Drosophila melanogaster: one gene and its partner. The protein of the gene in region 2 interacts with the protein of the main gene of each other region in a pairwise test. Each region holds a gene or a part of one and is shown on either strand. Other genes may lie near its edges.

Region 1 (7,997 bases), on a different chromosome or scaffold from region 2:
AATGAGTGGGTCAACAAGTGAAGTGAAGGGAAGTGAATCATATATATAACAAAATATAACAGGTATTCAAGGAGACATCCGTAATAACTAAGAGTGATAAATACGATGACGAATGCCACTATCGAAACGATTCGGTCGGTAGTTGGAATGCGAGAGTGTTGAAAGATGGCTTCGGTCAGAAGTGGAAAACGAACTCATCGGAGGAGGTGTCAACCGGAACGGATCCGGTGATATTCGCATGGTAGCCAGTCACCTCCTCCTTGTCAGTCTGCTGATCCGTTAATCATTGATAGCTCTGGGTGATCTGTTGGATCCAGGGCAGGTAGGCGGAGACCTTAACGTAGACGCCGGGAACGTTCACCTGACCACATCCAATGCCCCAGGACACCACTCCGACCACGTGCATGGCTCCATTCCGGTCGCACACCAATGGGCCACCGCCATCACCCTTGCAGGCATCCTTGCCCTCCTCTCCGCCGGCGCACACAAATCCGGGATTCAGTTTGTAGCTATAGCCCAGACGCGTGTTCCTCAGCTGGGACTCGCACTGTTGGTGCGATAGGATTGGCACATCCACCTCCTTCAGAATGTTCTGGTACTTTCCGTGCTCGCCGAAGGCATCCTTGCCCCATCCAGTTGTCCAGCAACGAGCTCCAGTGAAATCGGAATACTTGTCGGGCAGACAGGCGGGACTAATGTGCGGATTCTTGGTGAAGTCAACGGGTTGATCCAGTTTCAGAACGGCCAGATCATTGTCCAGAGTGCCGGCATAGTACTCGGGATGGATGTGCACGGAAACCACATCGCGTTCAATGTAGGGGAAGAACTCCACATCGTGGTTGACATCCCATTCGCCCAGACGCACACGAAGATCGAAGCCATTTTGACTGGATAGAAAGAAGCAATTGGTTAATGCTCTGGTGAAATATACTTTTATGACTCTAGAACTTACGATTTAATGCAATGGGCAGCGGAAATGATGTGCTGGGCATCGATGAGCGTGCCACCGCAGGCGTAGATCGACTCCTTGGGATCCTTCTTCAGAATGGCCACATGCCAGGGATACTCGCCGAACTCACTGTCTCCATCAACGTAGACGGGATTCTTGATGCGACCGGTGATTCCAGCGGCGTTCCTCACTCCACAACGACCAAATTGCTGGGGAGGAGCCTGGGGACGCAGTGGACGACGGCAGCAGACTTCGTTGATGCGGCAGGTCTTTTCCACGGGTCGGTTTCCATAATAGGCACGCTGGAAAATATCAAGGAAGGCAATCGCAATTAGATAAATGTTGGAGGAATGGGTACAATCTTATCTGGATTTGAAATGTACTTTGAATGCCATATAACTTTTCCTAATTACCATCAATGATTTAATCAATAAACAATTAAGAATATTTATAAAATGTGGGGTTCTTTGACTCTTAAAAAGTTTTACAAAATAGTTACATAATTTGGGACTGAACTTCTCATGAAATTTTTCAATTTTGTAGTTATGGACTTTAGTACTCTATTGACGCTTTCGAATGAACTTTAATGCTTTAGCCACACATGGTTACCTGCTCCTTAGGAGCTGCTCCCGCCCACACACCATCCTCAACGCTCCTGCGCCTGCGATCCCGTGGGAAAGTGATCCGATCACTGCCAGCTGCCTCACCAGGAGCCGGAGTGGGAATGTTGTAGAGGGGTCCCAGGTTCAACTGTTTGCCACGACGACCGGAATTCGATGGCCTGTCTGTATCACCACCGCTCACATTGGCACTTCGCTCCACATGCTGTGAGTACTCGCCATAGCCCCCGAAATCGGGACTGGATCCGGGATATATAGAGTTGAAGGAGCTCTCGTAGGGAGACGATTCGTGGTGGTGATGATACTGAACAGAAGGCCCACTGTGATACTCAAATATGGGAGTACTTGGGACCATTTCCACACTGAAATGGAGACCCGGTCCAGTTCCTCCATAGAAATGCGGATACGAGTGGTGGTCATGGTGATCGTGGTGGTCATGGTGATCGTAATCGTGGTGCTCATAGCCACTATAATGATCGTGATGGTGGTAATGTGTACTATACGCTTCGGTGGGCTTCCGCTTAAAGAAGTCTCCCACTTTCTGAATGAGATTCGCATTGGGAGTGACATGCAGATTGACCAGTGGCTTCACCACCTTCTCGCCATATTCTGTTTTGGCCACCTGCACCGATACCAGAGGATTCACATTCACCAGACCCAGATTCAGACCATTTGGACCCACCGAACCGAAGTACGGGTTTTGAGCGGGCACATGATCACCCAGAATATTCGAGGGATAACCTCCATACCCGCCAGTGGGATAGGGCAAACCAAAGCTGACACCGTAGGTGGGCAGCACTTTGCGTTGGATCAGCTCGATGGCCTGGAGAGCGGGCAATGCCAATGGAGATCCTCCGAGCGGGGACTGTCTCTATTTGTTGGTAAGGGGAAAACATAAGAACGCTAGAGGTGGAGTTCCATTTCTGATTGCCGGTTGCAGGTTGCATGTTTCGGGTTGCAGGCGTGCGATCACAAAGGTCGTGCTTGGTTAGCTGGTTTAGTTCTGGGATTAGTGACTGGTCTAATCGGAACCGATTTGCACTCTGGTATTTTAGTTGAGCTTGGAGCGTTGAACGATGGGTGCAGTTGTCAGATTGGTTTGATTTGTTGATTGACTGATTGATTTGTTGTTTGATTTGAATGTGTGTGTGTGTGGGAGGGAGGAGCTTGGCTAAAACTCGATTAGTGGTCCATGTGAACCATGTGTGATTTGGCATTAGTTGGGCACTACTTAAACTAATAGACTTCTATGGACTTACCCCTTGAGCATCGAGTGAGAGATCGCTTGCTTCGTCATCCTTTTGATCAGCCTGGCGGCGGGTGCGCTTCTTGTCATCCTTGTCCGCCTTCTCCTCGTCCTTCTTAGCCTCAGCAGTAGTGGTAGCATTGCTGGATAGAGCATCGTCACTCAGAGCCTCAATGTCCTTGCCCAGGTTGCGGGGATCAATAGGCAGAATGAGATCCTCCTTGCGTCCAATGCGATCGGCAGCGGGACACTGGGAGATGGGCACACACTGGCAGTCGACGATCTGCTGGCGCGAGGTGTCATATCCACTCTGGTACTGACCCTGACCCTGGTAACCACCAGAGATGCCATTGTACTGATTGGATGCTCCACCTTGCAGCTCCTTCTTGTAGTAGTCGGGATTCTGGCTGTGATAACTGGAGCTGGGCGATCCACTGAATCCTCCAGAGGAACTGCTGCCAAAGTTTCCTAGTCCTGAGTTGGGCTTGTAGAGATCTCCAGAGTTTGGTTTGTACAGATCTCCAGTGGGTTTCTGGGAGATTCCAAAACCGTTCTGCGAAAGAAGTCCACCCTGAGAAGCACCATTAAAGCCAGCATTGAAGGCATTGGACTGGGAGTAACTGGATCCGGAAGAAGTCTGAATGGAGGGAGTGTATGTGGCAGATGATTGGGCCAGGGCACTGAAGTCGGTGTTAATGGTCTGGCCAGCTCCGATGGGAATTGGCACACTGGGAACCTTTGCTCCCTCGCCACCTTCAACATGGTGATAATGATGATGCACATGTTGCTGCAGACCATCGAGCGGTGCTCCAACCACCACTTTGGTGCTGGAGGATGTGGCCGAGGCGGAAGAAGCTGAAGACTGCTGCGAGTAGAAACCATTGGGAGCAGAGCTTGCACCCTGGATGCCACCCTCGGGGTTCTCGTAGTTGTATGGAGGAACTCCATTCGAAGCACCAGTAAAAACGGGTCCAGCTCCCAGAGAAGGACCTCCGGTGTAGATGGGTCCTGGTGGCTTGCTGTCATAGATCAGGGCTCCGGGTGGTGGCTTCGTGTAGGTGATACCGTCGGATGAACCGTCAATGGCGGATGGTGGAGGATGCTCCAGGTAGCCACCGGGTCCAGATGGCCTGTAAGGTCCAGACATTGGCTTGTATGGTCCCTCGTATCCCACCTTCCTTGGCGGTCCAAAGGAGTTCACGGAGCTGGGCGGAGGTCCAAAGGAGTTCAGGGAGCTTGGCGGAGGTCCGTAAGATCCAGGAGGTCCACCCATTGGTGGACGACCACTGAAGTAGCTTGGTGGGGGCATGGGCTTAGCCGGACCATAGGGACCACCGCTGAAACCAGATGGTGGTGGGGGACCCTGGGCATAGATGGTCGAGTAGAAGGGACGCTTCTCCTCCACATCGCAGCTCATCAGTCCCAATCCACACAGCTTATCCCGGATAAGATTGCGGGCCTGCATATCGTTTCCCTGCTGCAGAGCCTGATCGATATTGCCATCAGCATAGACGGCATCGTATTCCCCCAGATTACGACCCTCACGGCGGGAGTTGATCAGCTGCTCGATGACCTCGTCAATCTGGGTGGTGCTGTTGCTCTGGATGGACTCGTGGACGAGGTAACGTCCCTGAATGTCAGCTTGTTCGGCGGGCTTGGTATCGACAGATCGGCGACTGGGCATGGCATCCTCCATGGGCGCCCACTCATTTCCCCAGTTGGATTCCTCGGCCAAGGAGGCGGTGGCCAGCAGTACAACTGCCAAAAGGCTAGTTCTTATTCTCATTGTGAAGCCTGTGAAATGATTAGATAGAAAAACTTTAGGATACCAATTCTCTAATATCTACGGATATATTAATCAAGTGATTGATTGACCATCTTTGTCGCCTTTTCTTTTGAGTGGAAAATAAATTAAGAGGTTTAGTCATGATTGGTTATGACATAAGTGGCGAGCTTGACACCATTACCCCAAGTCATTGTGCCAGTTTACATTTCTCCACCTAGCCACCGATCCCTCATACCATCTTTGGCTTAACCAATCCGTAACAAAACCGAATCCGAAGCCCAAACCGGTTAGCATCACGAAATCTTCACCGTGACTCAGACTCTCGTATAAGACTTTTACTTTCATTGGAGGTCGCAGACCGTAGCACTTAATTGCCTGATTTTGTACGTTACTTTTGCTCGAAATGCGAGTCGGGATGGCGAGGGGATCGCTGGCTTCAGGTCCCCGTAATTTATGAGGTAATTTTCCTACAGATTTAGCAAGCCTACGACTGCAATCCCACCGAAGACCATCGCTCAACTTGATCTCTCGCCCTGACAGCCGCTTTCCGCTTCGTGTCTCTTTTATTTGGTAAAATTCACTTTTCTTTTCAGCCTTTATTTTTATGGTCGTTTGCATTGCAGTTATGTCACCGGCTCACAGCGAGGGCGGATTTTGTAAAAGATCGGCTACACTTAACAAAAAAATCAATTATGAATGTAATATTGGTTTAAGGAGTAACTAATAGGATAGCCAGAATTATAATTTTGCCACTCGGAATTATATGCTTAAGTAAGAAGATATATTTATATTTTAAATGATTATGTAAACAGATCTGATTCATCTAGAGCGGCATTACACACTACAATTTCGAGTTATATTTTATTTTTTATGATTTTTTTCAAGTATATATTTTCCAGTTATGTAAATGTATCTTTGGATTTCTTTAGGCCTGCTTTTTCGGCCGGAAGTTGTGCGCAGCGTTGCATTGCAAATTGCCGGCAACTTTTTCGCTTGGATTTTCTTTGGCGAGAAGTGCTCGTAAGCGATGCTAACTGCCGTTTGGTTGGGTTTGGGAAATTTTTTTAGGTTTTTCCTTTGTGTTCGCAGTGAAAGTTTCGCTTGTTCGATTGGCTTAATGACGCGGAGGCTCTTGGCCAAGAGTTTTTATTAAGTGTATGTATGTAGGCATATTTGCAACAACCATAATTTCATGTGCTGCAGACTCATAATTCACATCTAATAGCCATTCATTTAAATTAGTTCGCTTTCGGTTCACTTGAGTTCACTTTGCTAATTTCGCTCACTTCACTCACCTTTTTTGTGTCAAGTTTATTAATCCAATTGGTTAGTTATCACTGTTGTCCGGATAATCCTTATGCAATTTACTGAGTCTCTTATCCTTTCACTTCATTCACTTTCTGCACCGATTGTGCTCTTCGATGCTCTGCAGATCGTTCACTGATTTCGCTTTCGTTGGCCGCGCACATTTTATACAAAAGCTGTGCATGCGCGCCGTCGACGTCAAGCTCCAACGTTTCGCTGTCTCTGTCTGCATTGATTCCGTCTTCTTCTAGCTTTCATACCGCCTTAGTTTGCGAATCGGTAGCCCAAAACAAAAGATACAAAAGCGGCGACGGCGACAATGTTTGGCAACCCCTCTTTTTCGCTGTTAGTGTTGATTTTTCGTCTGGGTTTTTTCCTCAAATCCCCAATTCTGCCCAACTACTGGAGGTCAGTAAACGAGGCGGAAATAGGCGGAAATATCACTATGATAGCTTCATTATCAGTAAGAAACCCAGAAACTATCATCACATTCAACACATCTCTTAAACATAACTGACTGTCTTAAACATCCAAATGGGGCTTTGTTTTTTTTTTTATGATTTTACCAAATTTTAAATAACCAAATTTAGCTTCCCGGAAAGGCGTTGCTTGAGAAACCGGGATTATGCAATTCTGCAATTATGAATTGGGTCAGAGAGTAGCAACCGCTGAATAATAAAAACATCGTGAAAAAGGGTAAAATTGGGCATTGCCTCAAACCGGATCTTTTGGCATACATTCATCTTTCCCCATTTTTTTTTTACTTCATACATCTGCCTCTCTTTTTGGTTGCAGTTCAGTTCAAATCGCCTGGTTTTTAACCCATGGTCAATGCAAACGTCATCGCTCGGTCACTCGTTTCATTTTCGTTTATTTTAACGTTTTTTTTATTTAACCTAGCTCACTGTGAGTAAAAAGCGCTTGGCGGAATTACCCGAAGTTCATAAAAATTAGAGACATTCCCCCCAAACTTATTCACGATGATCACGTTCGCGTGCCACTACCTTAAATCCCAATCATTATCAGGTTTGCGTTTGTGTTGTGTATGGTCAGTGCTGCCCGGCCGGAGTGAGTCTCATTGTGATTCAGTGGCTCCAGTGGCTTCCACTTGTGTTACTGACCTTGGTTCGATGTGCTGCAGTCGTTCATCTAGCCCCCACCTAAGTGGCGTTTTATGTTAAGCATTCCAAGAAAGTTGATAATGACCAACAGAGCTTCGAAAATTATGCTAATCACATTGATTTTTCTCGGGAGTTGTTATTGTCGCCACTCTGGGCTGTTTGCCAAACACCTTTTGGCTATTTGCTCGCGATTAATTCACGAAGTTTTTATCAATCAGCGTAGCGTGTGGCGTAGTTTTTGACCATCGGGTTTTTTATGACTCATACTATCGAGCACTTTGGGCTTTTCGAAGGAGGTGCGACGAACCTTATTTTGCATCGTTTTTAATTCCGTTTGGCTTACCTTTTTTTGGGGGTACATCAATAAGATGGAAATCGATTTTAATACATTGTTAATATAATATCTATAAAGGGTTTTCCGAATGTAAATATCAAACTTATTTAAATGTACGTTTCAGTAACTAATACATCTATTTTCGTTTGTTATACTCTGGTCTGAAAACTAGCATACATGATTAATAACTCATTAGGTCTTAAAAGCTTCATATCTTATTTAAATATAAATATTTAGATAACATTCAAACAACCTGATATTTGCAGAACAATATAAATAATGTGTTGATTTTATACGTTTTTATAAGTTTTAATTTAATCTCATCTATTACAGTGTATCTACGAATGCGGCTAATTGCTATCTACAATGATTTTCCTGATAAAAATAATTTTGGTAGTTAGCTGAAACTTGGCTATTGGTAAATCCCAGTGAGTGATGAACTGAACTTGAACTTGGACCTCGCCGGAGACAACTAATGCCAGGTGGACAGTTTGTAATCCGATGGGGTTACAGGTTCAGGGGCTTGTTATTGGATCTGCATTTCGGATTTGGTATATACTCATATCTATTTATGGTGCGCTCCAACATTTTGCACATTTCTTGGGCCGCACTATTACAACATAGCCTATGTTGATT
Region 2 (7,489 bases):
TATACGTAATATTCTCTTTTATATAAATTTCTTAAGTTTTTATTATTTATTTTCAAAATTTTTTTCGGTGCTCTTTTGAAAAATAATTTCAAGGTACACAATTTTGCAATCAACCTTTCCGCCTTTTAAATTCAAATCAGTTGCTTGAACTTTTTGCCAACTATCAAACTGAAAGTCAATGTATATTATTATCTATGGGCCAACAGTCTTCCTATAAATGAACAGTTAAACTAAACCGGCTATCGATTTAAGTGTGCAAAGCACGATTATTGCCTAGCCACCTTGGCTGCGAAGTTGATAGGCAAAGTTTTATTGGCCAATAGTGGCCATTAATGAGTTTGTTGGAGCACACATTAATAGACTTTTATGTACATCTAATTGCCAGCGTTAATTGATGGGAATCGGGAGCAAAAGTCGATTTCGAAAAGCACACACAAGTGGTGAGTAACTAACTTCATTTTTTCGACTAACAGATACCCGGCAATCAGCATGAGTGTAAAATGTAAGATGAATTTAATGAGTTTAATTAAAATAATATTTTTATATTATATTTTATATTATATTTTCCCATCTGTAATAATTATTTTTAAAATGCACTGCTTTCGCCGGCGGAAGTGCTTAATTTTCCACGAATGCTATGCAACCTTATATTATTAGATTACCGCCGATGGGTATCTATTTTTATGTGTGTTTATGCCATAATCTCACTTTCGCACATGGCGCGATTTTCCTATCAATGGCCATAAATCAATGACGGATGTATGGCCTACCAGCCTACTGTCTAAATGCACTTCGACTCGTTTTTGTGTAATCTCAACGTCATAGATACTGTGCTCTGCGCTGCTAAGTATGCAACAGGTTTCGTACGAGTCGGGCTAATCAGCAACAGGTGCCGTTACTCGCTGCTACTCACCACGCCAAGCGAATGGAATGGTAGGCGGTGCCTGTGGGTGGTCCACGTATTCTACCCACAGTGTCCATGTCCGTGTGGTGAATTAATAAGTCGCACATTGTTCATACGCCCCATTGTACGGGCAGAAAGCACTTGGATGTTGGCATTTTTGAAGGGAGTATGCGACGGGAAGATGCCCTATGCCATTGAGTTTTTGTCCTTTTAAGCTTTCAATTTAAGGAAATACCGGAAATTAAAATTAAAATGGTACATACGAATATTATTTCTTGCCAGCAAACTTTCAAAACCGTATTATTATATTTTAATTGGTTATTAAAATGGTTTATTTGAAGGCATTTTAAAAGTTTCCTGTGCTGCTTTATTTAATTTATTTAACTTAACGTTTAATTTTGATCGGTGATATTTCTACATCATTACGATTCATGCAAATAAAATGACCCTAGATCTTAAAAAATGTCTTATTCGCCTATCTTGTTTTTAGTTGCGTCCATATAGCGCTAATCTACTCAAGGATCTGTGCACCTCATCAACCCTCCTCGCCTGCCAGGTAGTATAAACAAGTGTTATTCCTGCTGACTGCAGTGCCGCTTGACATGAGGCATAAAGCTTTGCCTAAGCAGACTCCCCCTAACGAATTACCCCCACCCGGTGGGCCGCCCCCTCAGCCCCCTCAGCCTCCTGGCCGTTCCGCCAGCTCGTGCTTCCTGCTGCTGGTTCTGCTGCTGCTGCTTCTGTCGCTGCCGGCGTCGCTGCCCTGGGTGCTGTTTGCTATTTTGTATATAAAGCCCAGTGGCAGGCATCGCCAACATCGAGTTACCAATTTCCCTTCTTGGCGTTCACATCGATAGAGCGACAACAGCAACTAGTTAACGCGACCAAAGGATCAGATCCAAACTTCCCACCAAACGAAACTCCACATCAAGGCCGAAAAACTAACACAAATAATTCGCAAATTACCGATTGACGAATTTCCCGGCGCCAGATTTTTCTCATTTACCGACGCCAATTTCATTGCCGGCGATTCCCAATCTCATCCAGACGAAAAGTATCGGTAAGTATTATACTATTTACCTGCGCCAATTGGAATTCGGCGATTAATTGAATTGGGCAGTTATGTGTCTGCCACAATTAATTTGTGGGCGCGGAAATTGTGCCACAGGTGAAATATCGCAGGGCACAAGAATTATAGCCGCTGATATCATATCGTACAAGTTACACTCTTTGCGTTAAATCGAAACAGTTAATATCAACGAAATAGAAATCTTCATGTTAGATGTTTTTAAAATAATATAGCACAAATATATTTTACGCATTACGGTCAAAAACGTTTAAAAAATATGCAGAATTTTCGAATTATGTTTCTAACTAGTTGGTTAATAGTTAAATATTAGAAATATGAACAATATTCAGAATTTTCTTTTTGAACTAGTGAACAAAAACTAAAATAAATAAAGTATCTAAATAATTTCAAAGTGCATCTCAGTTTCTGAAATATCCTTTAAAAAAATGTCTTCAATGAATGGTTAAAGACAATTTGCTTGTTTCTCGTTTAAATTGAGTCAAAGGTGCTCTTCCTAAATTGAGTTCATAAAAGTTGCTGAAAATTGATAGGCCTTTACACCATTGAAGGTAAAGTAAGGTTACTTTTTTGCCCATGAAAAACTCCCACATTTTGACGTACATATATGTATGTGCAATTCATAGGCCATATATTACCACCCTGTTGGCTTTTCTTTTTGTTTTGAATATGCCAGAGCATCAATTTCCTCAGGGACTTTCCCAGAGCCACCTAATGACAGACGAAATCAGGAGGAACTGCTTCCGCTGCTCATTGAAAATTATGTGAATTATTTATGAAGCGTAGAAAAATCAGGTGAACGCACAAAACATTCACCTCATTTGATTTGGACTTCAATCTCGATTCGAGTTGCTGATAATAAATAACTTCAGTTGACTTGCTCTGATTTGGTTTGTTGTAGCTTCGGTCGATTCCCGCCGAAACCGCAATCAAATTGCATTTAATATTTATTAGAATACGCCTACGGTTTTCTTCGCAATTTTCCTGCGGGTTAAGGGCATCAATGAGGCAGATAATTTTCCGCTGAAATGTAAGGGGGAAAATCTGGCGGAGAAGGGCAAGCTTGTTGTTTGCTTAAGACGCTTCGTGCTGTGATAATCAGGTTAAATAAACAAAATAGACATCTTTTTATTAATATTTAAGTAGCTCAAACAAAAAGTACTAGAAAATTCAACCAAAGACCTGCGGCAATTGATATATTCTAAATTTATCCCTAACCGCAATGTAGAATGAAAAAAAAACCACAAATTCTTTAGGACATATTTTCGAAAATCCTTCACTTCAAAAGAATGCGCAGCTTTTTAACTTGAAATCTAATTGGGTAAATAACTCTTCCACATCGAACCGCATTTTCCGCAAATCGGAACGTAACCACAAAAAACAAAACAGATCCCCCAAAGAAACTCGATACAACTTCAAGTGCTCCACACCCGTGGAAGGCAAAAGGAAGCATTTCAAATATCTTGATACGTATTTGAAGATGTCTGAAGTTTCCAGTTTTTGGTGACTGACTGACGTAATTTTAATTTGCCGCCTCGAAAATATCATATGACCAGATAAATCACTTGGCCAAGGACACGGCCATCGTCCTGCCGGCTCCTGTCAGACGCACACATTAATGAAGCCCACGCCAGGTCCTTCGGCCAAATATTTGCCCAACGACATTTGGTCTTGGCTAATTTTAAAGTTCCCATTGCCACAGGCTCAAAATGTGACAAAAAAAAAGTGAACGGAACTTGAAATTAAACCGGAATTAAGCGACCGTGTTTGCCAGGATAATAACTTAAAGTCTAAAGTGCCACGTGAAATTGCACTTTTCTTTTCCGTTTTTTTTTTCTCTCAACGCTTTGTGTTTTAGTACTTGCAACTCTTTGGCTGCCACGGCGGCGAGATTAAATTTCCAATTAACATTCGAGCATTATTTATCGGTGGCAATAAATGTGTCCTGATTATGTTTGGCTTTGGGTTGGTCTTCAGGGCCCCGTTCGCTTTTGGCCTTTTATTATTCCATTTGATCCAGCTAAAGCCACTGCGTTGGGTGGGCAAAAGTTGGCCACCTCGTCATTAGTTTTTATTTATCACCCGCTAGCTGCTTAATCTAACAAATATTTTATGAGCTCAAAGTTTAGTTGGCCGCTTTGTGGGCATTGTAATTATCTCTGCGTAAGTTCACTTGTTTTAAGTGTTTTAAGCGATTCGCATGCACTTTTGCCAATTTATACACGAAAATGTTCGCATATGAGCCAATATTTATCAATGTTTCAGTGGCAGAAAAATATAGTGCTACTACCAATACAAATCTCAGCAGGTAATATAGTTCCAAACAAATGCCATAGTTTAGGAAATATGGCCATTTACAAATCGCTTGCCATTTTCCAGTCAATGTGAATGTGTTTGATCATTTCTGCGAAACAAAGAGCTAATTTGCAATTTAGATTTTTGGAACCATAACAAACTCCGTCGCAAAATGCATTCACATAACCAGCTGCTTGAAATTTAAGGACCATCTAGGAGCAGCAACATTTTATGAGCTGCAGCAAGCAAATGAGACAAGTCGTTAACGTTTACGGGCCACAACGTTGAGGTCCTCGATGGGCCATGTCTATATGGCTTTTTATGCCCACGCCGTTGGTTTGGCTTTCTCGCTTACCTGTTGCATGCAGATGATTATGATGATTATGATGATGATACTGAAAGTCATTTAATGACCTCATTTTCCACGTCCCAACGGGGATTTATGTTCAAACAGGGGCACTTTATGTATTCATGTCCTGCGGGAGAGGTTTTCCTTTTGATTTCACACCCACTTAAATTACCATGATGCCATAATTTATGTAATTCAAGTAATTAGTTGCTGATTGCAGTTTTAGTGGACGTGTCGTTCATATTAGTAATTACTTTTGATCTAGCTGCACTTAATATGAATAATTCATAAGGCGGAAGGAGGTAATGTAATATAATCCAAATTGTATACTAATTAGTATTATCGTATTAGTCTTATTAGTATGCACATAAAGTAACCACAAAAAAATACATCATAAATCTGATTCCTTCACTCCGTTTGATTTTTGCAATGGATACTTTATTATATGTTGTGTTGCATACCTTCTGAAAAGTGTATCAGTGACCTTTCACCTTTATAGCTTTGAAGATTTGATTGAATAACCCGTTGTTTGATCAATCACTTTTACCAAGTTGACAACACGTTACGAAACAGGCCATGAAAGTTCTTTAATACGTACTCGCATACATCGCATATATGAAGGGAACCCCAGCACGTCTTTTGTCAGCTTCTGATAAAATCAATTAAAGTTTGGCCAACAAGGCCATGCACCCTGGCCATTGTGTGGCTGCCACACGTTGCACTATCGACCATTGTATTACGGATGCAACGCATAAGTGGATGACCGTATGGGTCCGGTTGTTGCATCGTTTAAGCTGCAGCTCCATATCCGCTTTTAATTGCGGAAATGCACTTAAGCCGGGCTAAGGTGAAAAACCGTACTCAGGACAGCAATCTGCGTCAGCAAGGCAGAAATGCAGGTCACGTTTGTGGCAGCAAGTGTTTTGAGTAACTGCCATTTGCTTTGTTGGACGGCCATTCAGGTTGAACGGTGTCTGAAGTGTTACAAAATAATAAATATGCGTATAAAGGCAATTCCACTGAATCCCGGGACCTTTAATTAAAAAATGTGGCTAGCTGAACTTCATGGCGAAGTTTTTTGCGTGAACTCGCCTCTTGACAACCTTTGTGCATCGGGATTAGCGGGGCACAAAGTCCTGGAGGTTTTTCTTTGAAGTTTTGCAAGCATTTGCATTAATTGGAATGCTACAACAGTTCATAACTATTGACTATTAAACAAGGCTGTTTTTTTTTAATACTTTCAGTGCAGAAGCGTTTAAAAATGATGAAATTCGTGCAGATATTATTGTGCTACGGCCTACTCCTCACCCTGTTCTTTGCCCTCAGCGAGGCCCGACCTTCGGGTGCCGAAACAGGACCGGTGAGTAATATCCTTGGAGAACGTGATACAAATGTAGCTTATTCGTTCGATTTAAGGACTCCGATGGACTTGATGGCCAGGACGCGGAGGACGTGCGAGGCGCCTATGGAGGTGGCTACGATATGCCAGCCCAGGCAATCTATCCCAATATTCCAATGGATCGGCTGCAGATGCTCTTTGCCCAATACAGACCCACGTAAGGCGAAAGCACTATTGAAACCATTGTGGATAATGACAAATTGTGATTAACTTTAATAGCAGTTACAGCGCCTATTTGAGGAGTCCCACCTACGGCAATGTGAATGAACTTTATCGGCTGCCCGAGAGCAAACGTCAAGTTAGATACCGGCAGTGCTACTTTAATCCCATCTCCTGCTTTAGGAAGTAAGTTCCCGGACAGTGGGAAGAATATCCGGAACCCAGAGCTCTTGGTTAAACTAACAATTCAAGCATTTCAACAAACCAAAACCAAAAAAATAAGCCACAACACAAAGATTAGCATAATGGATAAACGCAAATGTTTAGAGCAATTAAACTAAAGCTAAGACTCAACTATATCCATATACATATATATACAACTTATCCTTTGAATGTCTACGAAACGTATGAAAAAATGTTCGTTCCATTGTAGTTGCCAAAAAAAAAAAATAAATTATGTACCTATTTATTTGAATATTAGCACAAAAGTTTGAAATTTAAATATTTCGTTTCTTGATTTACGCTTTGCATATGGTGTGGTAAAATAAAATACAATGCTTCAATAAGCTATTTATATATTAAAACTGCATTCCTCAATGTGTGTGCTTTTGTAAATTTAAGTGTCCCAGCTAATGTATAATACAAGTAATTAGAACAACAAACAGGAATGCAAACTTGGTGTCATCTAATACCTCCTACACAAAACTATACATGTAAAATATCTTTCTAAATAAAAGTTATAAATATTTACGAATAAACTAAATGCGACCAAATGTTGAAAAAACTGACTTATAATTGAAATAATTGGGTAAAAACATTTACTGGATAAAAGTATTACTTTTATTGCTGAAAGTCAATAAAAACACTCAGTTTTGTTACTGAAACATTTTATTTTTATTAAAAATTAATTTGAATTATTATTTAAAATTATTGGAGCTTATAATATAAATATATATATATTTGCCAATCACTAGTTTAAAATTTGTCATAGTTAAATTTTTAAAAAACACTCATTGTGCCTCTTTTTAAGTTTTTGTTTAATTTTGCTTAGCAGGTGATCTCAGTAAACTCAAATTATATTTTTAAATTTCACTTGACTGAATTTGATACATTGGTAAATTGCCTCTGAGGCTTTAATTTTCCATCACTGATTTTCGGCTTTAGGATCCTTTATTCGATATCTTAAACTTTTAGACGCCTCCTTTCTAGGAACTTGGTTGGACACTTTCCGCCGCGTCGTTCCATTTTGATGACCAATCGATCCGGAGTGGATATCTTGTAGCCATTGCACCGCCG

The links.
Region 1: the proteins of AstC (region 2) and CG4998 interact in a two-hybrid assay, tested with the Drosophila melanogaster proteins (one large-scale study listed by BioGRID).

What each region holds. Positions count from the first base shown.
Region 1 is NT_037436.4:16,337,048-16,345,044, reverse strand, and holds the start of CG4998 (uncharacterized protein), read right to left. Parts: upstream 6,043-7,997; 5' UTR 5,897-6,042; intron 4,610-5,896; 5' UTR 4,602-4,609; coding exon 2,829-4,601; intron 2,441-2,828; coding exon 1,559-2,440; intron 1,252-1,558; coding exon 953-1,251; intron 888-952; coding exon 284-887; 3' UTR 1-283.
Region 2 is NT_033779.5:11,075,629-11,083,117, reverse strand, and holds AstC (allatostatin C), read left to right. Parts: upstream 1-1,718; 5' UTR 1,719-1,964; intron 1,965-5,879; 5' UTR 5,880-5,896; coding exon 5,897-5,995; intron 5,996-6,051; coding exon 6,052-6,191; intron 6,192-6,253; coding exon 6,254-6,383; 3' UTR 6,384-6,953; downstream 6,954-7,489. Other genes in the region: CG43725 (uncharacterized protein), read right to left, coding at 7,376-7,489.